Linked DNA regions of Oryctolagus cuniculus. The protein of the gene in region 1 interacts with the protein of each later gene in a pairwise test. Links are inferred from orthologs where the notes say so. Each region holds a gene or a part of one and is shown on either strand. Other genes may lie near its edges.

The links.
Region 2: the proteins of DNAJB11 (region 1) and BAG6 interact in a two-hybrid assay, tested with the Homo sapiens proteins (2 studies listed by BioGRID and IntAct). The link is inferred for Oryctolagus cuniculus from reciprocal best matches to the Homo sapiens genes DNAJB11 and BAG6.
Region 3: the proteins of DNAJB11 (region 1) and PTN interact in a two-hybrid assay, tested with the Homo sapiens proteins (2 studies listed by BioGRID and IntAct). The link is inferred for Oryctolagus cuniculus from reciprocal best matches to the Homo sapiens genes DNAJB11 and PTN.
Region 4: the proteins of DNAJB11 (region 1) and UBR1 interact in a two-hybrid assay, tested with the Homo sapiens proteins (2 studies listed by BioGRID and IntAct). The link is inferred for Oryctolagus cuniculus from reciprocal best matches to the Homo sapiens genes DNAJB11 and UBR1.

The regions. Positions count from the first base shown.
Region 1 is NC_091435.1:96,298,469-96,305,753, forward strand, and holds part of DNAJB11 (dnaJ homolog subfamily B member 11), read left to right. Parts: intron 1-360; coding exon 361-493; intron 494-3,938; coding exon 3,939-4,081; intron 4,082-4,570; coding exon 4,571-4,653; intron 4,654-5,259; coding exon 5,260-5,317; intron 5,318-6,289; coding exon 6,290-6,401; intron 6,402-6,841; coding exon 6,842-7,001; intron 7,002-7,285. UniProt on the Homo sapiens protein: As a co-chaperone for HSPA5 it is required for proper folding, trafficking or degradation of proteins.
Region 2 is NC_091436.1:138,960,542-138,968,465, reverse strand, and holds the start of BAG6 (large proline-rich protein BAG6), read right to left. Parts: upstream 4,759-7,924; 5' UTR 4,619-4,758; exon of another isoform or gene 4,443-4,618; intron 3,969-4,442; exon of another isoform or gene 3,965-3,968; 5' UTR 3,956-3,964; coding exon 3,848-3,955; intron 2,454-3,847; coding exon 2,336-2,453; intron 2,220-2,335; coding exon 2,023-2,219; intron 1,776-2,022; coding exon 1,722-1,775; intron 1,561-1,721; coding exon 1,486-1,560; intron 936-1,485; coding exon 697-935; intron 246-696; coding exon 116-245; intron 1-115. Other genes in the region: APOM (apolipoprotein M), read left to right, coding at 6,962-7,072, 7,439-7,593, 7,880-7,924. UniProt on the Homo sapiens protein: ATP-independent molecular chaperone preventing the aggregation of misfolded and hydrophobic patches-containing proteins.
Region 3 is NC_091434.1:173,075,702-173,083,757, forward strand, and holds the start of PTN (pleiotrophin), read right to left. Parts: upstream 4,420-8,056; 5' UTR 4,072-4,419; intron 1-4,071.
Region 4 is NC_091443.1:66,087,882-66,095,678, forward strand, and holds the start of UBR1 (E3 ubiquitin-protein ligase UBR1), read right to left. Parts: upstream 4,191-7,797; 5' UTR 4,045-4,190; coding exon 3,964-4,044; intron 1-3,963. UniProt on the Homo sapiens protein: E3 ubiquitin-protein ligase which is a component of the N-end rule pathway. Recognizes and binds proteins bearing specific N-terminal residues that are destabilizing according to the N-end rule, leading to their ubiquitination and subsequent degradation.

The DNA.
Region 1 (7,285 bases):
CTTTTCCTCAAGGACTACAATTTTACTAAGAGTGATAATTTTTAAGCTTATTTAACTGCATACCCAAGATTTAATGAGTACTTAGTACTAGTAATTATTTCATCAATGGAGTTCAGCATTGAATTCATTGACAGTGTATGCTGTACCATGTGCATGGGCCAGATTGTATTAAAACCTAAGTTTTTTTGTGGTGAGGAGGGCATTGAAGCTGATATTGTGTAAATTAAAAATTGTATGACTGCAGTGTTTTGAAAATGTTGAACATTTTACATTGGTAGGAAACAAAATGTGAAGAAGCCTGAATAATTTCAAGACGTAAACTCTGAGTACTTTTCCTGATGATTTCACATTTTTCTCTAGCTTCTTTGGAGATTTTGGTTTCATGTTTGGAGGAACCCCTCGTCAACAAGACAGAAATATTCCAAGAGGAAGCGATATTATTGTAGATCTAGAAGTCACTTTGGAAGAAGTATATGCAGGAAATTTTGTGGAAGTAAGTTCATTATGACTCCCATAACTCGTTTTTTACTGAATCTAATAAGTTTCTATATACCTTCTCTGTCTTTTTTTAAACTTATTTTTAAAGATTTATTTATTTATTTGAAAAGCAGAAGCAGAGAGAGAGAAAGAGGTCTTCTGTCTGCTGATTCACTCCCCAAATAATCACAACAGCCAGAGCTGGGCCAATCCAAAGCCTGGAGCTTCATCCAGGTCTCCCACACGGGTGCAGGGGCCCAGGGGCTTTGGCCATCTTCCACTGCTTTCCCAGGCCATAGCAGAGAGCTGGATTGGAAGTAGAGCAGCTGGGACTCGAACTGTTGCCCATATGAAATGCCAGCACTGTAGGCAGCAGCTTTACCCACTACGCCACAGTGCTGGCCCCTATGTTCTCTGTCTTGTAAAAGGTGAAGAAGAGTGATCAGATGCCCAGAATTGAGTTAATCATAATCCTTGGATCATGATACACTGTTATCATTGTTTAACAACTCACAACCAAGACCAAAAACTAAACCGAGATCCATGACTTAATCGCCCTACATGCTGTTTTCTTATCCTGTTCCTTTTCCTCTCTTCTGACATAATTGCTATCCTGAATTTTGTCCTTATTCTTGTTTGTTCTATTATATATATATGTATTTTATATATGTATATATATACACACACACACATACATGCATGCTTGAGTAATACCATTTTGGTTTTTATTTTGTCGAAGAGGGATGCCATTCATTATCTTCTGGGCCTGGCTCTATTATTTCTTACTGTTTCATGTTGTTTTTGTCTTCCTTACCTCCTTATGCATTGTCATGCTTGTTTAGGTTCTTGATCTGTTTTCTCTAGTACATGTGCTTAAAATATATGTGTAACCCAGTTTATTGTCTTGGGGGACAGGGTTTAGTTATTCTGGCCTTTGAGCTCATTCCCATATGGACATCAACAGTATCTTTCCCTGTAGAGCATGTTGGGGTGAGTCTTTGCTCAGTGGTTTTGACTGTGTTGTGTCTGTCTGTCCTTGCAGTATTTTGTTTGGTGTCTAGGGTTTTCTGTGGAGTGGTGCAAATAGTACTTGTCCCAAAGCAGTTCGGAAGAGGCCAATGCAGAACTCCAACTGCTTTTTGCTAGTATCGTCTTGCTGCCCTGACTGGGGTGTAGGCACTACCCGACCCACATACTAACTCTGGGATGTTCTCGTGACATCTCTGTGACTGTTTCCTGGAACCTGTGTTTCCTTGTAGTTTTTCTAGGATTTTGGAAGAGCTGGCAGCCTAGTTTCTGTGCCATCTTGACAAGGAACATCTTCTTAGTTGTGACTGTTGCTCTGAACATTTGAAAGAGAGCTAGCTAGTCAAAGAAGATGTGACTGGCTCGTAATACTGTTGTTCAGACCGCAGGATAGAAGAAAGGGGCATTACAATTTCTTAGGTCTTCTCCACACATTGAAGAGGTTGTTTAGGTAGGAGAAACAGTGGAGCCTAATTAACTTCCACCTTCCTTTCCTAACCTGCTGTTCTTCAGTTTTTGTTAATACACAAAATACAAAAATAGTTCAGAAAGTTGTGGAGGGGTGGATGTTTGGCCTAGTGGTTAAGACACTCATGTCCCATAAAGCAGTACCTGAGTTGGAGCCCCAGCTCTTTGCCTAATTCCAGCTTCTTCCTGATGCAGACTCTGGGAGGCAGCAGTGATGGCTCAGGTAGTTCCTGCCACCCACATGAAAGGCCGCTCCTGTCTTCAGCTTGGCCCAGTTCTGGCCACTGTGGGGAGTGAACCAGTGGATGGGACCTCTCTCTTCTGTCTCTATCACCATCTTCCTCCCTTTCTCTAGCTCTTTGTCTCTCTGTCTGCTTCTCAAAGAAAAAAAATTAAAAGTTCCTGAAAAATTGTATGAAAAGATAAGTGTATTCTGGTATAAAATATTTTAAAGCCATCCATCCATACAAAAGGTCTTAAAAAGTTCATGGAGAATTTATATTATGAAAAAAGCTATGCTTGAATTTAAAAATTTTTTTTCAGCAAAAAACTTAACTTTTAGTTCCATTTTTCCCTGGACTTTTTAAAATACCCATGTATATTACTTTTTACAGTGAATGCCCCCCCCCCCTTTGTAATATAATCATGGGAAAAATGTGAATGCCCTTACTATTTAAAAATGTTTTAAGAAACGATTACCTTAAGAGATAGGGTATGATTAGAAGCATGGACTTTGCAAGTAGTCTGCTTTGTTTGGAACTGTGGTCCTGCCATGTATTAGTTATGTGACCTTGGACCTGCCACCTGGTCTGTAAAATGGAGATAACAGTACCTACCTCACAAGGTTGCCGTGAAGATTAGGTGAATATGTAAAAGTTTTTAGAGCATTGCTTGGTATGTAATAAGTGCTGTAAAGTATTTGCTCTAATTCCTATCATTGTTAGGCTTTATTCTGCTGACCCGGGCTTTCATACACTGGTAATCCTTAAGGGACTGCTCCAAGCATTGGTGTCATGCTGCTGCGTGAGTATGCGTGCACCTCGTGATTAGGTGTTTGACTAATTAAACAGGCAAAAACAGGGATGTACTTCTTCACATATATATCTTTTTTTAAAAAAATTATTATTTGAAAGGCAGAGTTATAGAGAGGCAGAGAGAGAGAAAGATGTCTTCCATCTGCTGGTTTACCCCCTAAATGGCTGCAATGGCTGGAGTTGGGCCCATCCGAGCCAGGAGCCAGGAGCTTCTGGGTCTCCCACGCAGGTGCAGGGGCCCAAGGGCTTGGGCCATCTTCTACTGCTTTCCCAGGCCATATCAGAGAGCTGGATGGGAAATGGAGCAGCCGGGACTCAAACTGGTGCCCATATGGGATTCCAACCCTGCAGGCGGCAGCTTTATCCACTATGCCACAGCATTAGCCCCTATATTAATTTCACACACCTCGAGAGATCAGAGTGTTTGATTGCAGTCAGCTACAAAGAGATGGCAGCTATGTGTTTGCTATGTGTTAAGGTATCTGAATGGAGATAGCACTGGAAAACAGGCCAGGGTCGGGTTACCTAGAACAAGGAGCTGTCTTCATTGGGATCAGACGGCAGCCGCACACCAGCCCTGAAGGCTGTGGTTGTTCTTCAGGGGTTGTGCTTTACAAGGCCTCGATTTCAGCAGATGTAATTCTGTAACTACCGCAGTCGGGCTCACAAGTGCTGACATTATAAACCTTACTCTGGGTCTCTTCTTCCCTACTCCGCTCTCTCTTTACCTCTCAAACTTCAGAATTTGAGTCATTTAAATATGTGTTTGCCTCATTCCTGTTTGTGCTCCCCAGGGAGTCCTGTGAGCTCTTGGTCTCTCTGAGGGATGGCTTGTCTGGGAAGGGGCAGCTCCAGGTCCAGCCAGTGGCCAGAGCCCTGGTTGGCTGAGGTCCCCAAAGACAGTGAAGCTGATGTTGTTTATGCACTTCTTAGGTAGTTAGAAACAAACCTGTGGCAAGGCAGGCTCCCGGCAAACGGAAGTGCAACTGTCGGCAAGAGATGCGGACCACCCAGCTGGGCCCAGGGCGCTTCCAGATGACCCAGGAGGTGGTCTGCGATGAGTGCCCTAACGTCAAGTAAGTGAAGCATCTTCTTGGTTCCGCCAAGAAACACTCGAGTAATCGCTTTTGTCTAATGAGGCGTCAGTGGTCCATCCCCAGCTCTTCCTCCCTCCCCTTACCATGTTCTACCGAAGGATAGAGCAGGAATGGACATTTTAACTTTTTCCAGAAGTGTTTCTTCAGAATATGCGTATCTTTAATGTTTCTGAAACAGTAAGCAGTGCTGTCTATGTCTGAGTAGACTTACCAAGTGCTGAGGTTTCATTTTCTTCCTGCTTGCATAGCAGAGCAGTCTTATGTGTTTGTGTACTATATAGTAGTTCTGCCCTAAGTTTGGACATTTAGAAGGTGTAAGTGGATTTCAGAGGTCTTTGCAGAGGAGAGGTACACTGTAGTCTTCCAAGAAAAAGTCCTGATAACATAGATAACACTTTAATTATCTGTATCTTGGGTTTTCATTTGTATCTTCATTTTGTTTTTCTTCTTAAATTCTCTTTGTCTTAGACTAGTGAATGAAGAACGAACTCTGGAAGTAGAAATAGAACCTGGAGTGAGAGATGGCATGGAGTACCCCTTTATTGGAGAAGGTGGGATATTGATACTGATGTTTTATGATCATAACTTTCTGCTCTCCACTTACGAATATTTGTCTCACCCCATATCCTAATGGCCTCGTAGTGAATGCATATAAAATTCACCACACATGGAGAATCTTTTCTGACCATCACGGTTAGTCACCTGAGGCGGTGTCATTACTATTTGTCCTTCAAATATCATGCCCAAAAGTTACTATCAGGTGGCCTCAATTTCACCAGAATTTAAAGTGTCCAGACCTTTATGGATTAATTTTAACTTGACAGTGAAAGAAGATTCGCTGCCAGACTGTACCTTTGGGCTCAAATTTAAAACTCTAAAAGGATAAAAGCTTTCAGACTTCAGGTTCAGGGCATCAATGAATCATTCTTTGTTTGAGAAATAGGTCAAGTTATTTATTACCATGCCTGAGGCACAAAGTGATCTTATCTTCACTAGTAATCTGAAACGCTGTAACCAGGCAGAGACACTTCCTTCACAGATAAACTTGACAGAATCAATGCCAAGGTGGTGGCTTAAAAGAATTCTCTCAGCTGCCAAATAGATTTGTGGTATTCGACTTGTGTGACTTACGGTATGCTGTCATCTGTTCTGACTAGGCGAGCCTCATGTGGACGGGGAGCCTGGAGACTTACGGTTCCGAATCAAGGTTGTCAAGTAAGTGACCTAGTTCCAGAGGCTTCTCTAGCCCCTGCTTTCCGCAGGCATCAGAGCATCCAGTGTTCTTCTCTGTTCCGTGCCCTGAACTAGTCTTTGTAACTCTTGAACAGTACTGAAAATGTGGGGTTGGACCCCAGGATTGAGCCCCCTTTATTATTTACTTAGGACTTACAAGTCCAAAAGATGTCTTAAGGAAAAAAATTGATAGAACAAGTAAGGACTTGTAAAAGAGAAGCAAACAAGAATAAAAGTCAAGGAGAACTGAAATTTTAGCTGAGGATCTCTGGCACCGTGAAAGAATGGGGGACTTTTCCCTAAGCACAAAGTACTGCTTCCTGGGCCTCGGGCTTTCTTGTTTATCCTCTCTTGTTACCACCTTGGAAATCAGTGAAGCCTCTGATCTAAAGATCTGCTGGAACAGGGTTCCCGCTGGCATCTGGAGGAACGGCCTTCCACTGCCTGAGACCTGTCCCTCACCACTGTCCTTAGTCCCTGTGATCTCCCCCAGCCTTCCTTCCCGACCTTGTCTTTCTCATCACTTCCCAGAGACACTGGCCCATGCGCTGCTCCTGGAATAAGCCTGGTAACTTCTCAAGTCCTTGGCTCTGCAGAATTTCCCTCACCTTGCACACACCTCATCTGCCTCTCGAGGCAGCTCAGAAACCACCACAGCCACCATTCCTGTTGCCCATCCCCCAGCCGCCACTGCCAGGAGTTGTCACTCTCTCTTTTCCATTTTCTAATGACAGTCCTTCCAGTTGTACGCTTTGGCTTCTGATTGAGAGCACCTAACTGTAGCGTCTGATATGTGACTTCATTGTCTTGCTTAATACTACACAAAGGCATCTCCAATAAATGCTTATTGTTTGAGAGAGCAATGTTTATCTTTCTCTAAGACGTTTCTAACAACTTGTTCAGTGTTCCTGGAGAAAAAAATGGAAGTTAATCATTTTTACCTTGTGTTTTTAGGCACCCGATATTTGAAAGGAGAGGAGACGATTTGTACACAAATGTGACAGTCTCACTGGTCGAGTCTCTGGTCGGCTTTGAGATGGATATCACTCACTTGGATGGTCACAAGGTAAATGGACCAACCTTCCCGTTTTCTATTCTTGCAAAGCCTCCCCTGGGTGGCTCTTGAGATGCTTTTGGCCATTTCAGTTATTTAGAACCACAGGGAACCCTTTGATGCTTTTGCTCTGCCTTCCTGCCTTAGGTCACTGCTGCCCGCCAAGCAGCGACAGCCACAGGCCTTCAGCTGTTCTGCGTTGGTGGCACAGCCTTTGGTAGTCTTGTCCTTACGGTTTCCATTGGCGAAAGTGTGACTTCTTGTTCATGTGTTGATTTTTTCTTTGTCTTTTTTAAAACCTTCTTTCTTTGACTCTCATGTCCTGTTTCACTTGTCCCTTCATTCTGTCTTTGCTGAGCTGTGACACTAGTCTGTGCACAAGCGCCCGCTAGAAGCTGTGTGATATATCCCAAGTGGACCCGTCCTCCTCAAGTCTCCCTTTTGCTTTCCAGGTGCATATTTCCCGGGATAAGGTCACCAGGCCAGGAGCCAAACTGTGGAAGAAAGGGGAAGGCCTTCCCAACTTCGACAACAACAACATCAAGGGCTCTTTGATAATCACTTTTGATGTAGATTTTCCAAAAGAACAGTTAACACAGGAAACCAGAGAAGGTACGGGGTGTAATGAGTGCGCGTGTGTGTATGAGAATAAGGTGGCCATAAACCCTGCAGGGACGTGAGACATCAACCATTAGCACTAACGGAACACAAGAATAGGAATGGACTTGACCGTCTTTGTAAAGGCAGTGTTTAAAATCTCCTGTTGCTGTGTTACAAAGGCCGTGTAAACTAGACTTGGAAACCTAGGAAGTGGTATGGTGCATGGGGGGAGACAGAATCACTTGTAACAAACGAGGTGGACCCAACTTAAAGCGAAGATGAGCTACAGAGCAGCT
Region 2 (7,924 bases), on another chromosome or scaffold:
TTGGGTTGTTTCTAGTTTTTTGGGTGTTTTGTTTTTAGTGCGAGGGGAGAGTGTTATCTGTATCTCAGTCTGCCCTGTTCTGCTTCCGGGGGGTTGGGGCCATGGAGGGACTCACGTTGTTGTTGTAGTCCGTGCTGCCGGCGGAGCCCAGGACCTCGTAGTAGCGCTGCAGGAAAGGCTGGAGGCGGCTCTCCAGCCGCTGCAGCTCCTGCAGCACCTCGACATACTCCGCGGGGGAAGGGTGGCTGCGGGCAACCCAAGGGCAGTGAGCCGAGGCTTTCTGCAACTCCTGACCTCCCAGGCACCAGGGATCGCAGCCGCCCGTCTGCCCTGGGCCTGATCCCTTCACAGACCAGCACAGTCTGTTCTTTACTCCTACCCATGGGAGGACTGGGGGAAGACACGGAATTGCTCCCGCCCTCCCCAGCACAAGAAACTGACTCTACGAGAGAGATGGGATCCGTGTGAACTCAGGGCAGAAAATTTTATCAGGCTCAGGACTTACCACCTGGATTCCCTTGCCCAGGAGAGAGCAGTACTTTTTGCTCAGCTATCAATCCTAACTTCACTTACCTACACTCAATGCTAACCCTACAGGTAAGGCCCAAGCAATGCTTCCCTTGCCACTGTACCTTTCCTGGTCCTCACACTTCATTCGGGATCTCCCAAACCCCTAGAGTTCCCTCCTCCTCTCACTTGGGTGTGTTTGTCTCCGTGGCAGGTGCTGGGCCCGTTGGGGCTGGGCCAGGCGGGGTGAGTTCTGGGTTCTGGACTGGGGTGCGCTCCTCCACTTCTTCTGCCTCCATGGGCTCCCGAGCTGGCGAGTCATTTTCAACCGCTTCTGCTGTCTGAGAGCTCAAGGTTCCCGGCTCCTGGGCCACAGGCGGCGTTTGTGGGGGCGGCTGACTGTGCTGTGCTTGGGGCCCTCCTCGACACTGAAGGTGGGGCGAGTCAGAATACCAAAAGCAGGATGAGACTACTGTAGACAACCACTCAGGCCAAAGGAGTCTGAATGGGGAGAATACCCTGACGAGGCGCCCTGAAGGCAGGGCTCTGGTCTGCCTCTAACAGCCAGGGCAGCACTGGGACAATCAGGCTGCACACAAGCATCTGTAGGCTTGGTGAGTGAATCACAGAGAGCAGAGGCTGCAGTTTCCTAATCTCTGCAACGAGAGAGAGAAAGGCCACAGGCTGCAACCGTAACACAAACTGACAAACTTAGAACATCAAGGAAAAAATTAAGAAGTGTGGGATCCTTCTTCAATTCAAAAGATATGCTGTGAGAGTTACCTGACAAGACTGAAACAAAGTCCCCAATACCAGCCACCAAATGATCTGGCAGGGTCAAAGCGGTCTCAAAAAGATACTTTTTCTACCCCAAAGAACAAAGATTGCAGAGAGAGGCGACCAGATTAGGAAGGCAGAGTCCTGTGGTTGTGGCCAGTTATGCCCCTGAAGAGACTCTAGCCAGACTTGCCCACTTACCTCCATCCGGGACAGTAAGGTCTGTATATCCCGGATCATGTGCTGGGCCATCACCAGCCGTACCCGGGGCTCACTCTACGATAAAAGAGGAATCATCAGGACAGGTCCGAGGTGAAGCCATGAGCTCCACTGCCTACTACACCAGGTCCCAGTCATCTCCTCAGCCAGGTCCTCCCCCACTTCATGGCCTCCTTCTCCCAGATCCCCTTCTCTGACCCTCCCAGGCCCCTCAATACCTGAATTGGGGCCTGTTCCATGTTGATGTGAACATCCACAGCAGAGCCGTCACTCTGGGGAAAGGGTAAGGGAAGTTGCTCTGGGAGAAGCCAAACACTAAAGCCTCCACACTTTCAATGTATTGCCTAGCCCCCCTCCCCCAGCCCTTTTCCTCAAAGACTGAGTCCAAATCCAACACTAAACCACAGAGCCCTCCAAGCTGAAGACTGACACATGCATCTGATGGGCCTCCTGTTGATACCACAACCAACCAAACTACCCTTCCCCACAAAAACTCTGCCATGCAAAACACAAGCTTACAGGAAGATTGAAGGTTCCAACCATGACATAGCTGTTGGCATTCCGGTCATGAACTGTGGCCCCAGGCCCCCGAGTACCAGGCAGGGGTCCCCCACCATGGGTGGCTGAGGCAGACCCTGTCCCAGAAGATGCCCCAGAAGGGAGCTGAGTCTGAGGAGGAGCCCGTTCCACCAAATGGATAACCTTTCCCCCAACATCTGCAGAAAGAAAAAGACATACATCAAAATAGTTGTATGATCAGGTAAACCCATGGCCTCAGCTCATCCCTCTGAACACTATCCTCTACCTCTGCAGTGCCTCCCCACCCCCTTACTGTATTCCTGGAGCTTCTTGTCATCTTGCAGAACTCGCCCCTGATAGATGAGCCGCTGTTTCTCAGAGGGGATGCTGACAGAGGCAGCAATATGCTCTTTAAACTCCTTCACACTCATCTGCAAGGAAGAAAGGACACACACAGGAGTCAGATAAAGGACAGAGGAGGTACAGAAGAGGGACCATGCATTAGGGAAGGTGAGAGGTAGAACTCATATAGAATCACTAGCCAATTGTCTCCTATGTGAGGTAACTATCGTGCAAAGCTTGACTCAAAACAGAAGCAGTAAACTCAAGGACACTCATGGCACAGACCAGGAGAAGATGTGGATAAGAAACAAGAAAGCCGACTGCCAGCCCCCTCTCTCCTTCTTTGCCTGGTTCCCAAGGGAAGGTGCGCTCAGTGCTACCAGTGACCCCTTCCCAAACACAAAATGATACCAGGACAACCCTGTAATCTCAAAGACAGAAACAATGGCAAGGAGAATGGGTTAGGGAATCAGGTGAGGGAAGACTAGCCAAGAAGAAAAGGTAGCAAAAAGAAAGGGAAGAAAGAGAGAAAAAAAAAGAGAAAGAGAGAAAAGAATGAAGGAAGGAAAGAAGGAAGGAAGGAGAGAAAAAAAGAAAGTCATTTTTCCTACCTAGAAAACTCACTCTTATGAAATGCTAGAATGTTTACATACATCTAACCACAAAGGCCCATATTATTTTCTTAATAACATGTGATATTTTATGAAACTATAGATCAGTCTGCTCACAATTCTGTCTCTAGCTATTTCAGGAGTAAAGGCACAGACAGCTGTGTCCACAGCATTAAACAGAGTTTCAAAGTATGCTGCAAATACAGTAATTCCACTCGCTTGTCTACAAAAGCTCTATTCATTACGAATTCTTATGCGCATACTTAAAAAACAGTATAGGCAGTGAGCACCCAGCCTAGCAATTAAGATGCTCACATCCCATATCAGAGTGGCTGGTCAATACCCAGCTCTGGCTCCTGGCTCCGGCTTCCTGCTAACACAGACCCTGGGAGGCAAAATCGATGGATCAACCAACTAGATAGTGTTCCTGGCTTCCAGCTCCTGCCCAGTCTCAGCCACTGCAGGCATTTGGGAAGCAAACCAACAGATGGAAGCTCTGTCTCTTTTTAGAAAGAAAGAGAAGGGGAAAGAGGAGACAGGAAAAAAAAGAGTATACACCCATGTGACCAATTTCTGTTTATAGAAGACACACTTGTTTGGGGGTCACTGTATCACGTCCATTCCCAAAGGCTGTCCCCTTGGGCTGGAGGCCACATAAGATGACAGCGTACAGATTCCTCCTTCCTATTCTCTGCACTGACTTCCACCAAGTTGAAAGAAGGCAGAACAAAAATCTGCCTCACTCAACAGTTAAAAAAGTGAACAAAGAAATCAATGAAAACTCAAGGACTAGAACATCAGGCTCTTCTCCGTCTAATGGGCCCCCGGGACAAAGGGCCCACAGATGTCTTCCAGAAGTATCGGGGTCTCACCTGGGCCCCCACAATAAAGGTCCGAGTCTGAGAGTCCAAGGTCTTCACCAGCACCTCCAGGCTGTCAGGCTCCTCCATAGTGGTGCTGGTACTATCACTGGGCTCCATGGCCGACACCTCTCTAAGAAAGAAGGGGGAGAGGAAGGTCCACTGTCGCCCGGAGCCGATTTTAGATCCAGGAAGCCTCCCCGGGCTGAATCCCCGCCCCAATACCTAAAAAGTTTCTCCCGCACAAGCACACACACTCACACCCGCCCCCATTCCCCTTCCGATTCCGGGGCAACGAGAGAGAAACACAAAGGGCAGATCGACGGCACAGGGAACCGAAGGACAGGAGGTAGGAGGAGCTCCACAATGCCAATCACAATGAGGGCGGGTCAGTCGGCTTAAGATACGGGAAAAGAAGCAAGCATGGGACCAGAGACCCGTGTCATCACCAGTCACGGCACTACAAGGGTCCCAGAAGTCGACAAACCCTGGGACAACCCGAGAGTGGGAGTCGCGCCAGACTCCGCGGAGAAAGTGGTTTCGCGCACGCGCGCCACGCCCATCGAACCCGCCTAAATCACTACAGACCCGGACGGCGGACACTCACGGGGGGCTGGACCGGCTAGCTGACTGCCCCCCCACTTCCGCCTTCCCTCGGTGTTCCAAGAGAGCAGCACAACCAACACACAGCCACAGCCAAACACCATACACATACACTCCCCACCACCCTTCGGCTCCGCCCCCGACTTCCCCACGGTACCGTCACTTCCGGTCTCCCCCAACCTGCCTCCGACGGTCACTTCCGTTTCCCCGATAGTATCTGGGGAATCACGAGGCGGTACTTCCGGCTCCCCCAGGTCCCCAAGCGTTACTTTTGTGGGGCACGATTAGAAAGTCCGTAGCCCCAAACAGTGAGTTGCTGGGGGCGAGACGGGCAGGGGCCGGCCTAGATGGGAGGGAGCCGAGCACCCCGAGGAGCCGCCGCCGTCGTCGCCCGGGGACCGTACTGCGCCTGCGTTAAGTCTCATTACGCATGCGTGCACATTTAAACTCCGCCCACCCACCCCCTCTGGCGGTGGTTACTTCCCCTGTGCGCGCGCTTCAGCGATTGGGGGTTGAGGTGGCCACTATAAATGCCTGAAGAAAAAAATTGCCCGATGAGACTGCCACTGCCTCAAGAGAGACTACGAACTATTCGTGTAGACCTTAGAGTTTGGAGCCTGGAGATTTTGCCCCGTTAACCTATGTTAAAATCCTGGTAAGCGGAGAATTTTAGGCGGCATTGTCCTAGGCACCTAAGCCTCCTAGCGTCTCGCGGTCGTCCTCACGGCACCTTTGCTCCGGCGCCTCCGGAAGTCACCTTTGCCGTAGGCTGTTGGGGGCGGCTCGCGAGATGTTTCTCCGTGCGGTTGCGTCGTTGGGCCGGAGCTCGCTTGTGCCGGTTGGGGCGTTTTGCGGACTGAACGTAGTGTTTGTTCGTCATGGGCAGTGAGCGGCCAGGGAGTCACGCCATGTTGTAGGAAGGCTAAGCCTGCCGCTGTCTTTCAGGACTTTTGTCAAGAGAAGTGTTTTCCGAGTTTGAGAATTGTCGCGATGGAACCCGACTGGACCGAAAGAGGAGACCTTGACCTTGGAGAATTGAAAGGCCACCGAGGGGCTTCCGCAGGGGTGCGGTGGGGGGACTACCGCTTCTCTGCGCCCCCTTTCCCCCACGTCTTTCTGCGATTTGTAGTTTATACCCAGATCCCAGGACTGGTTCAGTTTAAATAAGCACCTGCTCAGTGTGCCAGCCAGTATAATAAGCGTTTTACATATTTTAAAGTTTTGACCTTGGAAATGGGTACTAACATCTGTTTTATAGGTGAGTACGCCTAGACAAACCTAGGTGGTGGAAGTGACAAACACGGGCCCAGTTCGACGTTACTGCTCCAATAAATTGTTACATCTTAGCTTTTTCTTGAGAAATCTCAAAGCATTACCCCCAAAATAGACTAGTAAAATGAACTTTCATATACCCTTCGCTCGGATTTAGCTTTGATTTTTTTTAAACCGTGATCTGTTTACACAGTAAATCACAAGTCCATAGCAAGCCTCAAGTCCCAGAGTAAATCTTTGTCGTAGTCCGCGGGTAGTAAGTAATTTGGCAATGGAGCCCTGGTCATTCAGCAGCAGTTCCTCCCTCAGCACAACCCAGTGACCACAGCGTCACCATTCTTCCCTTAGTGCCTATGGTTTCAGAGATTACCCACCAGAAACTAGTAAGTAGTCTGCAGATACTACTGTTATACTGAATATTTAACTTGGGACTTAACCATTTTCTGGTCTTTGCTAAAGACTTCATATGCATTATTTCAATCCTGTGAGATTGATGATTAAATAAAATTATCCCAAATAGAAGAGAGGTCTAAGAATTGGGTTTAGAATTCACTCTGCCAGCCACAAAAGGTCTATCCTCTTTAATCACTAAATTGTGTAGCCCCCTTGTAATAAACATTGAGTGAATGAACTTGTGTGTCCTGAAACTTTTCCTTCCAAGGTGTATACATCCTGTGTCCACAGTTAAAACTTTAGGGAGAAATCCACCATGCCCGCGGAACTGGTCCATACCTGTTGGCACTTATCAGGTTGCACTGCAGTGATCTGTTTACACAGCTAGTTCTTCCTATACTGACTTCAAGGCCAGGGACTGTGTCTCATTTTTGTATCCCCACAGATTAGCTAGTTCCTGGCAAACAGCTGGGGCTCAGAAAACAGCTAAGTGAATGAATGAAAATCCCAGTCAAGCCTCTTTTCCATGCTGCACAACACAGCCAATATCCAGCTCAGGCATGGGTTAAAAAACTGTGGGCTTCTATGTGTGGGACTGGGCTCTTCCCATAACTCGTGAGACACCCTGGACATACCAGGTTGTATCGTGGACTGGTTGTATGAAGAAGAGGGGGAGGAAGGCCCAAACACTAGGTAATCCAGGCTTGGGCTGGAAAACAAGGTTGAAGTTACTCATTAGCAGGTGAAGGGGTCAAGGGTCGAGGCAAGGGGGCTGAAAGCAGAGTGGCCTGAGCCACCAGCAGTGGAGAGAGCAGTTAAGGCACTGGTCGCAAAGCCGCAGCTCCCTCCTGCCTCAAGATGTTCCAATGGATTTGGGCAGCCGTGCTCTACCTCTATGGCATTCTGAACTCCCTCTATCAGTGCCCGGAGCACAGTCAGCTGACAACTCTGGGAGTGGATGGGAAGGAGGTATGGACTGAGGATGGGGGATACCTTCTGGTGGTGGTTTAGAGGGGCTTCAGTGGGTGACCTAGAGTCACCAGAAGCCAGATTGGGAAAGGGACGAGGGTTGGAATGATGAAAGCAAGGAGAAAAGTACCAGTCCAGTGGCCATCAGCGTGGAGACTCGGCCGAGTTAGGGGTGGCGAACCAGGTTGACTTGGGGGGTGGGGGCGAGGAGGAAGTCATTTAGTGGTTTTTTTTTTTTTTGTCAGGAATTCAACCCCCAGTTGCGCAGAGGGAGGCAGCCAGTCCCTCCACCTGAAGTCTTGCTCTGCTAACCGCTGGCTCCAGCGCTGGACTCATTAACTTTTGCTTCCCTCATTGTCTCTCCAGTTTCCAGAGCCGCACCTGGGCCAGTGGTACTTTATTGCAGGGGCAGCTCCCACCAAGGAGGAGTTGGCAACTTTTGACCTTGTGGACAACATTGTCTTCAACATGGCTGCAGGCTCTGCGCCTATGCAGCTCCAGCTTCGTGCTACCATCCGCACGTGAGTGGTGCAGACAGAGGCACCACTGAGTGCACTCTGCCTGAAACGCGAGCGCCCAGCAAGGCCTGGGCTTTGGGGCTAGTGTAGCCAGTATTCTTGGCCACTGAATCCTCTAGTTCTGGCAGTGCCTTCTGGAGAGAGATGGGTCTAACCACGCCTTGTTAGCATGAAACCCAAAGGGAGCTAGATTTCCAGGAGGAATAAGATGGAACAAGTAGAGGCTGGTACCGTATGGCTGAGGTGACACTCGGTCTAAGGTCCTGTCTGCCACTGCCCACTTCTGCAGAAAAAATGGACTCTGTGTGCCCCGGAAGTGGATCTACCATTTGAC
Region 3 (8,056 bases), on another chromosome or scaffold:
TTAGCACCACTTAACAAACACAGTGCTTCAAATTGTAAAACCGTGAGTGCTTAGAGAAAAGAAGCTGTGTTATATTTCTTAAATATGATATACTGTGTAGCATAGTTATAGGCACTGGACATGCTCTAATAAATAGTATTACATTGATTGGCCACAGCAGCAAGAAAAATTGTTTGGGGCCTAGGACTGGAGACAATGTGACAGAGAGGAGTGATCACAGCTATGGCTCTCTGTTGAAGTCGGGAAGCTGAGCACAGTAAGTCATTACTTATTGCAGTGAGGAAAGTGCAAGCTGACCTTTGCCAGAGTCTGAATCAAAAAGGAAAAATCCAGTGGAGTCAGTAGAGGGTGCTTTAGTGCTGAAAAGATTTGAGTGCACCAGACCAGAGCAATATCAAAACGTGGGCTAGCTAGATCCAACCTTCCATGAATTCCAAGACGTGGGCAGACACTCCTGTCCCACACATACAGTAAGGGTTATATGCCATCACAAATACGAGGACAGAATTGGGCAAGACATCATGGATCTGTAAGACGGGAATTAACGGCAACTAGGTTAACAAAAGGGAGAAATGAAGGCCAGGTGGGAGAAGCAGGTAAGTGTAAAAGTAGGAACCAAAGGCTAGGAATACAGCAAGCTGTTTGTGTTTTTACATGAAATCTAAGAATTCTGCTTTTAGGAAATACTATGACTATATATGTGTGTGTGTGTGTGTGTGTGTGTGTGTGTGTGTGTGTGTGTGTATATATTTGGTCCATTTGAAATGTCACTATGAAGAAATGACTCAGAAAATAAAACCCAGTAGAAGAAATGAGATTTTATTTTTCAAAATATCTCAAGGATGGACTTGTCACTGTGTTCCTGGCCTGCCCTGAGGCAACTGGGGTTTAGATGAATGTGACCCTTGTAGGTTAAACTGTAGTACTGCCATCATTCTAATAGCCTCTGATAATATCTCATCACAGCCACACTTTCAAGCTGCAAAACCCTTAACTTCTTATTTAATAAATGCTAGAAGAGAGAAGGGAGAAAAAAAAAGGCCTGTTACATGTTTACAATCTGGAAAGATTGTAATGACACCATGTGCCACATACAAGGCTGGCTTGGGGCAGATGGAAAAACTGCCTAGCAGTGGAAACTTGAATTAGCCATAAATATCAAGAATGGAGAACAGCTTTCCAAAGTAAGGCCAAGGCTCAAATTCTACTCAAGCTAACTGACTCTGGGTGGACCAAAAGCAGACCCACCCAGCTCATATAAGTCTATCTTCGAACATTATCTCACTCCCCTCCTGCTGCAAGGGCGCAGCCCTGTGCCAGGAGACAAAAGCTCTTCCTGCCTCATGGTTACAGGGAAGATCAACCCAGCATCACCAGCAAAGCCATAGGGAGGCATCTGGCGGACTCTCCCTTGGCCTGAAGCTCCAGGGCACATCAGACCTGAACCTGGACTGTGTGCACCCAGTGTTGGACATCTTTGACCCCTGGGATCAAGAGATCACTGTGAGTTCTCTGAATTTTGACATTACCTTCAGCAAAGAGGTTAAGGACCATGTCCCTTATTATTCTGCCATATTAACAAGCTTGAGACCTGCAAATTAGATTCTGGATTCTGACTTCTGGTCCTCAGTCTACTTATCACTTGATTATTAACGTATTAGAGGATTATTAATGTATTACATGGTTATTAACTTATTACATGATTATTAACTTATTACATGATTCTGAAGAAGCCCGTTGCCTGGGAAGTTTTTGAGTAGCCATAAAACCACCACACTGCAACTAGGAAAATAATCGGAATTCAAGTGAGATTGTCATTTAAATGGAAAAAGAATATGTTCAAAGAGAAATAAAACATTCACACTTATTTTATTCCTAAAATTGATTTTGCTAATACAAGTGATTGTGAAACTTTAAGAATCTATTTCTCTTATATTATCTTAAACGATGACTTTTTGTGAAAATTCAGGTCATTGGCTTTACTGGAACAATGGTAATAAAAATCCCCATTTAAAAAATGCAGGTCTTGCTACAGTTTGCTTTTTGTAAAGACCACATAAGGCACATGGAAACTTGCGGTAAATTAATGTTCCTTGTACCAAACTCCATGGAAAGAAATCTAGGGTAAAAGAAAAATAGTATATGATATGCTATACTGCATATAGTTAAATATGGTTTATTATGTTCATTCCCTGTAATACAAAGTCAACAGTTAAAAAGCCCCGTGTTAGCTGCAGCTTGCTCTCTGTCGCAGCTCTGGCTTTGAGAAGGCGATGCATTTGTGTCCACAAGCAAACCACTGGGGCACAGCTCTGCAAGCAGCTGTACAACTTCATCCCAGAGAGGTTTTTCACGAAACTGAGAGGAAAAGTGTCCTGGGCTTCAAGTAGTGGGAGGGGAATGATCGCCTGTCCAAATTCAAAGTATACAGCCAGAGACCATAAAGCATGGAAGTTTCTTAAAGCACAGAAAATGGTGTTGGATGTTTTTCAAAGCAAATATAATACCTAAAAAAACTTTTAATTTAAGTAATAAAGTACAAATATTGCCACTCTAAAATAACGCATGTCCCAAAGGGAGAGAAAGGTAATATCCACTCTCTTTTCCTTTGAATTCAGCTGGTCTTTAACCGCTTTTTATGACTTAGTCTTTAAAGTGCATAATCAACTTAGAAAGGAACAGACCAAAGATGGGAGACACAAGCTTGGTTTTCAGTGTGGATCACCTTCCCTTTTGTTTCACTCCCACTACCTCTTAATAGTCCTGCAAATCAATTCATCCCCAGATGATTAAGGGGCTAACATGCACTCTGCTGTTTCATCAATTCCACATTTGAATGAGATCATGAAGTGGCTCCATTATGTTATTAGTTACAAAGCTCTTCTGGGTGGTTCCTGACTCTCCTCCCAGGCCCTTCCCTCCAACACACACACACACACACACACACAGAACCTCTTTCTCAAGCTACTGCTAACACATGCCATGACAGCTCAACTACTAAAAGAGCAAAACTACTAGAATTTGGCACTTCCCTCACATTGCTCATTTCCTCCTCTCGTGCGCCCCCAACTCCACACCTATTGTCTCAGTGTATCCCCCAATTTCACAAAGCAGCTATTAGACAGGGCTAAGGTAACAACAGAGTGTATATAAACTCTGTGTGTATTCTTGAGTGGATGTAGGTGTTGTGTTGTTAGGTACAAGGGTGTGTGTGTGCGTGTGTGTTAAGAGGAGAGGGAGTTTTATGTTCTGTACATTAAGTAAGGAAAGAATTTGGTACATTCCTCTCAAAAAATATTTTGTTAAGTTATTAGAACAGTCAATTCAGAAATTGATGGTCTAACAAAGTATACCTGGGGTAACAAACATACCCTAGCTTTCTGTGGGTAAAGGGAAAAGGGCAAGCAGGACAGTGCAGGACAGGGATCAAAGTCGGCAACCAAATGAGCAATGGGGAACCATGGTGCATCTTGGAAAGTTTGGACTTGACCATTTCTCGAAGTGTTCCTGGCTGTCAGGCAGGATTGACAGTGCCAGCTGCTCAGTGTCACCAGGCAGGGGGACAAACAAGCCCCCACACGTCACCCAGAAATGCCAGCTAAGGGTCATCCGCTGGCAAGCCCCCGGGGTACTCCGAGAAGCAGAAAAAGAATGGGAAAATGAGACCTGCTCACAAGGGCTGCCTTCCTGCCTCCTCTCTACTGAGTCACACACACACACACACCTCCCAAAGCCTCAGGTTTGACAAAGAGCAACCATGCACCCTGCAGCCCACCCTGGCAAGCTCTGTAGCAGTCAGCTGGAGCAGCCTCCAAACGCAGGCTTCCCACGACAAAGGCTTCCCTCCTTCTGCTCAGAAAAGCACACTCTCCTTAAACCTGACCTGACAGCCCTCCCAAAAACATGCCTCAGTCTGCAGTAAGTCAGTTTTGAGAGCAGTCCTATCAGCAACCACACCAGGCAGCCCCTCTCCCACTCCCAGCACCTTCATCCGCTGGCAACCAGAAAAGTGGCACAGGGTGCAAGCACACTTAAGCCCCCTGGGGGAAATCACACATTCCCTCCGCTTACTTTGAGCTGCAAATGTCCTCCCTGGCGCTCAGGCTGCCTTTGTTGGAAGGGGCGAGGTTTGCCGCTGCTGGAGTCCAGGTACCCTGCGCGCTGCTGCTCCTGCCTGGGCGGCCGCTGCTCTGCTCTTCTGTACAGACGACTCACTGGTCTCTTTCTTCCTCTCTCTCCACTTTGGATTTTCCTGTGCTCTGGGGCTCCCTTGGCGGGATTTTTGGACTGGAAGGCGGGGAACCTGATCTGCTTTTGACTCAATTACGCCCTGACAGGGAGGGAACGGAAGGGAAATGGAGAATGGGAGGGATGGGAGAGGATGCAGGCTGGGCGAGGGAGGGAGAGTGCTTTTCACCCGAGAGCTGATTGGGAAGCTTATTAAAAGCAGGCTACTCCAGGGGCAGTCTCTCCCCGTGGAGCAAGAAAACGGATTTGAACCAAGAAGCCAGGAGATGTAAGACTGTATTGTTTTTAGCAGAGAGACGGAACACAGTCTAGCTTTTGCAAACCCCATGCATGCTCGGTGCTTTCCGGGGGCGCATTCCCCAGTTTACCAAGTTAACCTATCACACACAGTGACATTTTAGGTTGCAGTTTTGGCCCCTGTCATTTTTTAAAAATAATATTCAGGATGAAAAAAACAGCTTCTTGTTCTTCCCCACCCCCAAACGCCCTCCCTACACAGAAGAACCCCAGCCAAATTCAGCTGTCAGTCCCAGCCCACCTGAGCCTCCCAAAGTGTGCAGAGTACTTTTCTCCATTGTCACAGAGTGACAGATGTCTTCAGGTTCCTAATTAAGTGCTGCTTTCCTTTAGGTTTTTTTTTTTTTTTTTTTTTTTTTTGCTTCTGTGGTGCTTTTATGAGCCTTTGTAATGATAAGCCTTTGACATCGACAAAGAATTTAGGGGATTGATCAATGGAGCTCAAATGCTAGGTTTTATAGAACTCAGAGGCTGGGCTCCTTGACTTTCAGGAATTCCATCTCATTCAATGGAAGAAAGATGCTGAGATAGTAGAATTGGGACTGCTGAAGTCATATGTAGATGAATATTTATGGCATAGATGAGATTAAAAGTGTTGTATGAAATGATTCAGACTTACAAAGCAGATTTCCACTAACATTTACAGAAGTGAATTGTGAAGTGTTCTGTCTCTTGTCACTTCTTTCCAGCTCCTTCCAATGCTCCTTTTATGTCCTTGCTATCACCATTTGGCCACAGCCCACATGCCGGCTGCACCCCCCCATTTGGTTGTGGTTTGTTTGTCCATTTCTGTGGTTCTGAGCTCACGTCCTTCTATTCAATTTGACAAATATTTGTTAAGTACCTTATTTAACTCTTTTCCATTCACTTAAAACCACCCCTGACATCCCAAAGTAGAAGCACTGTTTTGTGGCAGGTAGCTTTTCAGGGATCTGAGGCTCTTCCATCGATTGCAACAAGCAGAAGTGTCCCACGGAGGAAGGAGTCAACTGGGGGCCAAGAAGCAGCTCGGCAAGTAGAGCTTTTAATCAATCAATCATTTTTTTTTTATTTTTTTTTCCACAAGGAGGTGCATCAGAAATTCCATTAGGCACTTTCTATCTATCCCCTTAAGGAAACTCTCCAGACACAGGGCGTACACCAACCTCCAATGAAACACAGATTGCAGCTTCCCTGTTCTCACAGGAGCCCATTCTCCCCGTGAAGCATCTGCTGGTAACTACCGACTGGAGGGATGCGCATGACCTTGACTAGGGTTATTTTTCCCAGACCCGTTACTGAAAGTGATGTCTCAGGGTTTCCCACCACTCTGCAAGGGCCGAGTTTCCTTCCTAACCTGTATCTTCACATCTACAGGTGAACATGTTGCCACCAGTCAGGTGGACAACGCAGGGCTGATCGTGGTGCCCATTGCTAAAGGTCATAAAGGAAGCATGAGATTCTCATTATTTCACTCAATTATATGCATTATATCAAAATAGGATTTTATTAAAGTAGGTATGTGTGAAAATGACTTACATCAATGGTTGTCAGACAGGAGTAGGTGCCCTCCAAGACGTTACCTGACAACATCTTTTCTTATCACAGTCTGAGAAAAGGGGTAACCCTGACACCTAGTAGCTGGAGGCCAAGGATGCTGGCCAAGTTACAGGATAGCCCCTTTACAATAAAGCATTATTATTTTTTAAAATTTATTTGTTTGTTTGAAAGGCAGAGTTACAGATAAAGAGAGGGAGAAAAGTATTTCATCCACTGGTTCACTCCCCAGATGACCCTAACAGCTAGACAATAAAGCATTATTTTACCCAAAATATTAATATTTTGAAAATACAATAGAAGATTAAATGGAGTTCTTTTTCTCTTTTCTTCCCCAGAAATATTTTATTTAAGGTAAACTTCATGCATTTCATAAATACAGCTTTAGGAACATAGTGATTCTTCCCACCCTACTCGCCATCCCACCCACACTCCCACCCTTCTCCCTCCTCCCTCTCCTATTCCCATTCTTATTTTTATTCAGATCTATTTTCAATTAAATTTATACACATAAGATTAACTCTACTATTAGGTAAACAGTTAAACAAATAGTATGAGAAAAAAAAAAAAAAACTGTTCCTTGCAGCCAGCACAGTGGCACAGTGGGTTAACACCCTGGCCTGGAGCGCCAGCATCCCATATGAGCACCAGTTCAAGACCCCGCTGCCCCACTTCTGATCCAGCTCTCTGCTATGGCCTGGGAAAGCAGTAGAAAATGGCCCAAGTCCTTGGGTCCCTGCATGCATGTGGGAGAACTGGAGGAAGCTCCTGGCTCTTGGCTTCGGATAGGCACAGCTCCGGCCGTTGTGGCCATCTGGGGAGTGAACCAGTGGATGGAAGACCTCTCTCTGCCTCTCCTCTCTCTGTGTAACTCTGACTTTCAAATAAATAAATAAAATCTTTAAAAAAAATCTGTTCCTAACAGTAGAGACAAGGGTTGTTCAAAGCCATTGCATCTCAATGTGTCAATGTCACTTCTATAGATTATCTATAGGTTTTGTTTTTTCAATAAATCAGAACCAATGATATTGAGATTAGTCATAATTTAATTCAACCTAGCATTCACAACATAGCTTAAGTATAATGAAGGAGATGTACAATTTGGGAAATGCTCAATAGGACTTGCCCCAAAAGGTGGAGTTAGAATCATGCCAGGGGATCCCAATACAATCCCATCAAAGGTGGCATGTACCAATGCCATCTCACTAGTCCAAGTGATCAATTTCAGTTCACAATTGATCACATTGATAGGTCTAAGAGTCAAAGGGATCACACAAACAAGACTAGTGTCTGCTAATACTAGCTGATAGAATCAAAAAGGGAGAGAACAATCCAACATGGGAAGCGGGATACACAGCAGACTCATAGAATGGCAGATGTCCCAAATAGCACTCTGGCCTCATAATCAGCCCTTAAGGCATTCGGATATGGCTGAAGAGCCCATGAAAGTATTTTAGGCCTGGAAAGCCAAGACACCCTGGAAAAAAAACAAAAGACCTAAATGGAAGATCTCTGCGAGTGAGATCCCAGTGGAAAGAACGGGTCATCAAAGAAGGAGGTACCTTTCTCTGAAGGGAGGAAAGAACTTCCACTTTGACTATGACCCTGACGGAATAAGATCAAGGTCAGCAAACTCAAAAGGCTTCCATAGCCTTAGCAACTCATGACTAGAGCCTAGGGAGATTACTGATGCCATAAACAAGAGTGTCAAATTGTTAAGTCAACAACAGGAGTCACTGTGTACTTACTTCTCATGTAGGATCTTTGTCCTTACTGTGTTGTCCAAAGTGAAGTAATGCTATAACTAGTATTGAAACAGTATTTTACACTTAGTGTTTCTGTGTGAGTGCAAACTGATGAAATCTTTACTTAATATATACTAAATCGATCTTCTGTATATAAAGATAATTGAAAATGAATCTTGATGTGAATGGAATGGGAAAGGGAGCAGGAGATGGGAGGGGTGTGAGTGGGA
Region 4 (7,797 bases), on another chromosome or scaffold:
GGGACTAGAACCCAGGGTCCATATGGGATGCCGGCACTGCAGGTGGAGGATTAACCAAGTGAGCCATGCAGCCGGCCCAAGATACAAATTTTAGAAGTTAAGACATCCAGCTGGTATTTAAAGCTGCTGGATGAAATCACCTAGAGAGAAGGTATAGTCAAGCAAAAGAGAAAAGCTTAGCACCATGCTAAGGGACAACCTCTAAGACAGACTTAAGGAAGAAAATACAGTCAAAGAATGCAGATCTGGCAGATCACCCCCACATATCCTTAGATTTGCAGACTGTCCCACCCTCATCCCCACGGACCCAATAAAATACCCTCTCTTCAAAACTACTCGCCATGATATTGCACTACTCTCACCTCCCACCTGCTTGGTTGTTCCATTTCCAAAGGTTCTTAACTAGTCTTCCTCTATTTTCTAACCTTGAAATTCAATCATTTCAGTCCACTTCCTCATTCTGTGTGTTTGTGTGTGTGATACATACATTTTCTTCCTCAAAGATCTTATCCATTCCCACAAACTCAACCGTCAATTCTATACTGATAACTTCCAAATATCTACCTAAATTTTATTCAAAGTGTGTCCTATGGATCAGAATTTCAGAATCAGCAGGGCATGATGCAAAGACACAGATCTGTGGACTTCATTCCAAAGCTACAGATTTCCCTTGATTATTCTTAAGCAACAGCTTTTATAAATATCCAATTATTTATACCCATTATTATTATTATACCTTGTTGCATGTTAGTGGTATTAGGGATATGACAGTCTTCAAAGTTACTGACAGCAGTATGACTGAAAAATATCTTAGATCCAAGAAGCAAATCTGATCTAAGGAAATAAAAAACTATAATCAAGAACTCTAATGGGACTGGTAAGACCCCTCAAACCTCCATAACTATTCCTTATTTATTATTTTTGTTTCCTCTGCCTCCAATACTGATTTAAAATGTGCATCATTCAGGGTTGGCACTGTGGTGTAGTGCATTAAGCCACTGCTTGCAGCACTGGCATCCCATATAAACACCAGTTTGGGCCTTGGCTACTCCACTTCCAATCCAACTCCCAGTTAATGTACCTAGGAGAGCAGAGGAAGATGTCAAATGTGCTTGGGCCCCTGCATTCATGTGGGAGACCTAGAAGAAGCTCCTGGGTCCTGGCTTCAGTCTGGACCATTGTGGCCATTTGGTGAGTGAATCAGCATATGGAAGACCTCTCTCTGTGTAACTCTGCCTTTCAAATAAATAAAATAAACCTTTTTTAAAATATAAGAATCATTCAAATGGAAGAAAAAACCTGAACTTTTTGTTTAATAGCAAAGAAGTAGCAAACTGGGAAACTAGTAATTTACTCCACTGCCAGAATAAAATTGAAGACGGTAGCTTTAAAAAGAAAAAGAAGGTAGGATGATCTCTGGGGCCCTCCAATAGATAGATTCAAATCAAGAGTGGTCATGAGGTTTAACAGTTACACACTTACATGACCCTATCTTGAGTTAAACTTCTTAGGGCACTAGAGGTCAGTGCTCTGCACAGTGGTTACATGGCTGCTTGGGGTATGGGTATCGCATATAAACTGCCAGTTTGAGCCAGGGCTGCTCCACTTCCAATCCAGCTCCCTGCTAATGCTCTTAGCAAAGAAACGGAAGATGGTCCAAGTATTTGGGCCCCTGTCGCCCATGCCAGAAACCTAGATGGGAGTTCCTGGCTCCTGGCTTCAGCCTGGCCCTGCACTGCCTGTTGTGATCATTTAGGGAATGAATCAACCCTTAGGAGATCTCTTAGTCTCTCCCTCTGTCACTCTGTCTTTCAAATACATAAATTCTTTAAAAAAAATTCTTTGAGCCCTACTATTACCTGTGTCATTAGAATGTGGTTTCCCTGAGGCTGTATTACACCATCAGCCTACTACTTTGCAAAATCCAAAAACTTTGCCCGAAGAAATCTAATACAGGTCATGTATCCCTTATTCAAAATGCACAGAACAAGAAGTTTTTCAAATTTCAGACTTTTGGATTCTGGAACATTTGCATATATATCAAGATATATCTTGGGGACAGGACCCAAGCCAAAACATGAAATTCATTTATGTTCCATATATATATGACACACATAGCCTGAAAAGTAATTTTATACAATATGTTTAGTATACTTGTATTGGACTGTGCCCCAACACATGAGGTCAGGTGTGAAATTTTCCACCTATGTTATCATGTCAGTGCTCAAAAGAATTAGATTGTAAAGCATTTAAGATTTTAGTTTTCAGATCAGAGATATTCAAATTGAAATATCTCCTGAAATTCCTATACCATTATTTCCAATTCCCAATTCCCAATTAGTAGAGTCCAGAATAAAGAAGTTTTACTACACCATCTGGAAAGAACACACTGAAGCTTTAAATAAATATCAGTCATCTTTGGCAACACAAAACTAAAACAACTTTTCTGACTATCATACACAATTTCCTTCTAAAGATTTATTTATCTGAAAGTCCAAGTTACAGAGATAGAGAGATTAATCTCCCATCTGCTGGTTCACTCCCTAAATGGCTGCAATGGCCAGGAGCTCTGGAAACTTCATCAAGGTCTCCCATGTGGGTGTCAGGGGCCCAGGTACTTGGGCCATCTTCTGCTGCTTTCCCAGGCCATTAGCCTGGATCAGAAGTGGAGCAGCCAGGGCATGACCCAGCACTCATTTGGGATGCCAGCACCACAAGCAGGGGCCTCATGCACCTCACCACAATGCCAGCCCTGTTCCATTCCTTTTAACATGAAAAAAGCACAAGCTACCATTAAAATGAGCTGGTTCTAAACTTGCTATAAACTAAAACCAGCTCTAAATTTGTTCTATCTTTCCATTATGCCTTGTCATGTCAGATAGTCATACAAGTATCTTCCTTCAATTCCAACAATGAAGTGAGTTTGAATTACTATTTGGGATGGAGAAAGATTGCCAAACGATGGCCTAGTCGGTGGTCAAACCCTTAGTCCAACTCCCTCCCTACCTGGTTTCTATCTCCCAGCCAGTCTCTCCAGTCCCTGGGGTTGACTCATTTCTGTAGCTCATAAACAATGCTGAAGTGTTCACAGGGTTAAAGTACTTCAAGAATGCTTTTATGAACACTATAAACCAAAGGAACTTCTGAAAGAGGGGTGCACCTCACACTTTTCTATATGCAGCTGTGACATACATTTGCATATTTCCTACACAGCTCTCCACCAGATGCCCAGAGGCACTTAGAACACTCCCTTAACACAGTACCCTACTTCTTACCCTCCATAGTCCGCTTTCTCTTGGAGTCAGACTATTGCCTCACATTTGCTCACTATCTCTGCCTTCCGAGTCTTTCAAAATGCAGGAGCAAACCGTATTACTCTGACTTGAAATAGCTACGAGTCCCTTCCACAGCTGTAAAAAGCAGCAACATACGGCAGGTTTCTCCACAGAGGAATAAGCCTGGGGTTCTCAAGAGGCTACAATGAGGCACAACAATTCCTACACCCCACACCTGACTATGACTTGACAGTGGCCGCCTTCCCTTGCACTATCAGGTTCCGGCCGGCTGGGCAACATACCACTCTGCAGCGGGGTCTGCGTCCTGGATTCCTAGCATCAAGAGGGGCTAGCGCGGCGTCTACCGGAAAATGGCTCTCTCCAATCCCTCCTTAGCCCCCTACATGAAACCATAGAAGAACATCACCAGTTCTTTCTACTTCAGGATACAGACATGCATGCTTGAGCCCGTCGAGACTAATAAACGGCAAAGTCATTATATGCCGGAGGCTTGACTGGCAGGAAATGTGGGTGACGACTAACTTTTTATTCGGCAGCTTCCTTCCAGATCAATCCATAGGACTCCCCCTCCCCAGAGCCGCCATAAGAGGTGAAGCCCCACATCCTCCTGAGCGCGGTAGGGAGGGACTGGGGGGAGGACAAAAGGAACTTGTCTACAGGCACTTACACATGCCAGTCGCTGAGGGGTCTGGGGCAACTCGGGGCTGACTTCCATCCTCTCCGCACCCCCAGCCTCTTCGTCCGCCATCTTGAGGGAAACTGACTCCCGCAGTGCTCGACCCCCGGCCGGAGGCGAGTGGAAACCTGTGGCCCGTCCGAGAGGCGGAGGGCGACACTTTTGCGACGGCCCCTGAAGTCGCGTTTGACGCAGACTCGAGAGCGGCTTCCGGTCTGCTTCCCGGAAGCGGGCGTCACGACCCGAAGGGGCCGGAGATTTTCGCTTGGAAATTTATTGGTCGCAGTGGCTATTAATGCTGAGTGGTTGTACACCTGGCTTCGGTACTAGAATCTGTTGCATCTGCGAGGTGAAAGACAAATTCAGCGTCCGCTATAAGAGGAAGGCAACTGTCAAGAACTAAGGGAGAGCCTGTCCTGTCTGGCCGGTCGCGGGCGGGGGGCTGGTTGGTCTCCCGACGCAGCTGCTGTCAATCTCCGGCACCCACAGAATGAAAAACAAAAGTACTCGCGGCGTTTCCATCTTTAGGAGTCGAGCCCATGGGCACTTGCGCACGTATGAAGAAAGCTGACGCCCCAGTTTTGTTTTGGGGGCAGGGAATAACGAAGAATTTAAAATCATTCCCTTCGGTAGATGGAAGACGTGTCGGAGAGTGTTTACTGTGATTCCTAGTTCCAGACCCTTTAAACACCTGGTGCTATTCTGAGTTGTCTTTCAGGTTTTCACTCACATTCCAGGGAGGGGTGCAATCACCTGTCACCCTAGATTGTCCAGACCCTACTGCAAAAGCGATGACGCCTGGGCAAGTGGGTCAAAAAGTATCCATAGGACACCACTTTGCTTCATTTTAACACTAAGCTCTCCACCGCAGGAGGTGCTTAAGCCTCGTTACCATCTCATGCAACCTATGTTGAAGCATATTTCCGAACTGTTCTTGTGTGGACTTGTCTCCATCCTGCATGTGCAAACAAGAATACTACGTAAGAGGTATTCATTTTCCCCTAAGACAAAAGATAACCTGTTTTCCCCGGGTTGTGGAGACACAGCTTTAGGAATAATTCCCTATGGTTTCCTAATTTGCTGCACTAAATTGTTTGGTGTGACGACTCCTTCTGGTGTGTTTCTTGATTGAACTCTGGGAAGCAGGCCCACAATTTTGGGTGAGTGACAGCTTGACCTAATTTAGAGTAGGATTATGAATTTGATTCTTATGCAAAGAGATACATTTTTAATAAAATTACCTTTAGTCCAAGCAGCTTTTGTGAGTAAACAAACGACTCGTTTTGCAGGTGCCATTTTTCTGTCTGAAGCATTGTTAACAACTTAAGTACACGAGTTCTCTTTCTTGTGGCCCCCAAATAAAACTCATTTGGGGCAGCCATCCTCAGAACTGTTTTTCCCGGGTTCTCACTTAGGGATTGTGCTGCAGGTTTCAGCTCATTAGGATCGCCTGGCATCACTGTAGTGATTCTGATTTCATTTGAAAGGATTGGGGCCTGAGCATTAGTTTTTTTTTTTTTTTTTTTTTAAACACACACACACACACACACACACACAAACCTATTCCAAGTGATCTCAATGAGAAGTGAGAACCCCTGGGTAATTCCATTTCAAAGGCCCATATTCTCTGGGATATTTTGTGTGGGATTAGGGCCCACCTGTATTTGCCTTATTATTCCTTGTGTAGATATATAAATCTGTGCCACAACACATGCCCCTGAGATAAGCTTTTATAAGAAAAATAACAGGTAGAAGAGAATGTGTACTCTAATATTTTTGTATTTTATTGGAGACTATAAAGTACATATTGATATTTTATTAAATGTTTCTCCTAAATATTTTATAAAGATTTCCACACACTTCATGATGACATTTCAACCAATGATGGACCAAATATACGATCGTGGTCCAATAATATTACATAAGATTACAATGGAGGCAAAAAATTGTTATCTTCTAGTAACATTGTATCTGTCATAATGTTGTAGTGCAACACAATATCCATTTGTGGTGATGGCCGTAGAAACAAACCTAGTGCACTGCCACTCTTACAAAAGTACAGCACACAGGCCAGCTGTTGTGGTAGAGTGGGTTTAGCTGCCGCCTGGGATATACCATATCCTTAGTGGAGTGCTTGGCATCAAGTCCTCCCTCTGCCTCATGTTCAATCCATCTTTCTGAGAATTTGCCTGGGAGGTGCCAGAAGATGGATCAAGTACTTGGATCCCTGCTACCCACATAGGAAACCCGGATTAAGTTGTGGGCTCCTGGCTTCAGCCCTGGGTGTAATAGGCATTTGGGGAGTGAACCAGCAGATGGAAGTGCTCTCTCTGTTTCTCTCCTGTCTCTTTCACACTCTGAGTTTATATCACAGCATTTTCTTTCTTTCTTTCTTTCTTTCTTTCTTTCTTTCTTTCTTTCTTTATTTCTTTTTTTTTTTTTTTTTTTTTTGACAGGCAGAGTGGACAGTGAGAGAGAGAGACAGATAGAAAGGTCTTCCTTTTGCCATTGGTTCACCCTCCAATGGCTGCCGCAGCTGGCGCGCTGCGGCCGGCACACCGCGCTGATCCATTGGCAGGAGCCAGGTAGTTCTCCTGGTCTCCCATGTGGTGCAGGGCCATCCTCCATTTGAAAGAGTTACAGAGAGAGAGGTCAAGACAGAGAGAGAAGTCTTCTGTCTGCTGGTTCACTCCCCAGTAGGCTGCAATGGATGGACCTGCACCGATCCAAAGCCAAGAACCAGGAGCTTCTTCCGGGTCTCCCATGCAGGTGCAAGGGCCCAAGGACATGGGCCATCTTCCACTGCTTTCCCAGGCCATAGCAGAGAGCTGGATCGGAAGTGGAGCAGCTAGGACTCGAACCAGCACCCATATGGGATGCCAGCGCTTCAGGCCAGGGCTTTAACCCGCTGTGCCACAGCGCTGGCCCCCACTTTAACCATTTTAAGTGTATTTTTAAGTATAGCATTAAGTACATTCACATTGTACAACCATCATTACCATCCACTTTCAGAACAATTTTTCCTTTTACAAAACTGAAACTCTGTAGCCATTAAACACAAACCCCCTTCCTCTCACTCCACCCAGCCTCTGCAACCATCATTCAACTTTCTGTTTGAATTTGACTATTCTGGGTATTCCATATAAGTGGAATCATACAGTATTTTCCTTCTCTCTGAATTATTTCACTTAGCATAATGTCTCAAGGCTCTGTGATTTCTTTTGCAGTTATTTTGGGTTTCCTGTGCACAGCATTAATTACCTACATTAAATTCTCCTCAATCTTTTGTTGTACTAAGGAAGAGATGCTACTTCAGAAGCTTATAAAAGACGTCTGGTATGTGCCAATGTCCATAGCAGCAACACTCACAAGAGTCACAAGGTGGAAACAACTCAGGTGTCCATCAACAGCTGAGTGGATAAACAACGTGCCTCATATATTCAGTGAAATGATGCAGCCTTAAAAAGGAAGATTCATACACATGCTACAATGTGGATGAACCTTGAGGACATTAGGTTCAGTGAAATAAGCCAGATTTAAAGGATACATGCCGTATGATTCCATGAGTCAAATCTGACTATGTAGTCAAAGTCACAGAGACAAGAAAGCAGAGTGGCGGTTGTCAGGGCCTGGCAGGGGTGGGAGAAGGATGCAGAATTAATGTTTAATGGGTATAGAGTTTCCGTTTCAGATGATGAAGAGGTCTGGAAAGAGTGGTGGCAGTTGCAAAACAGTATGACTAGTTAATACCACCTAACTGCACACTTTAAAATGGCTAACAAGGTAAATTTCATACCTATTTTATCACAATTTAAAAAGCAATTT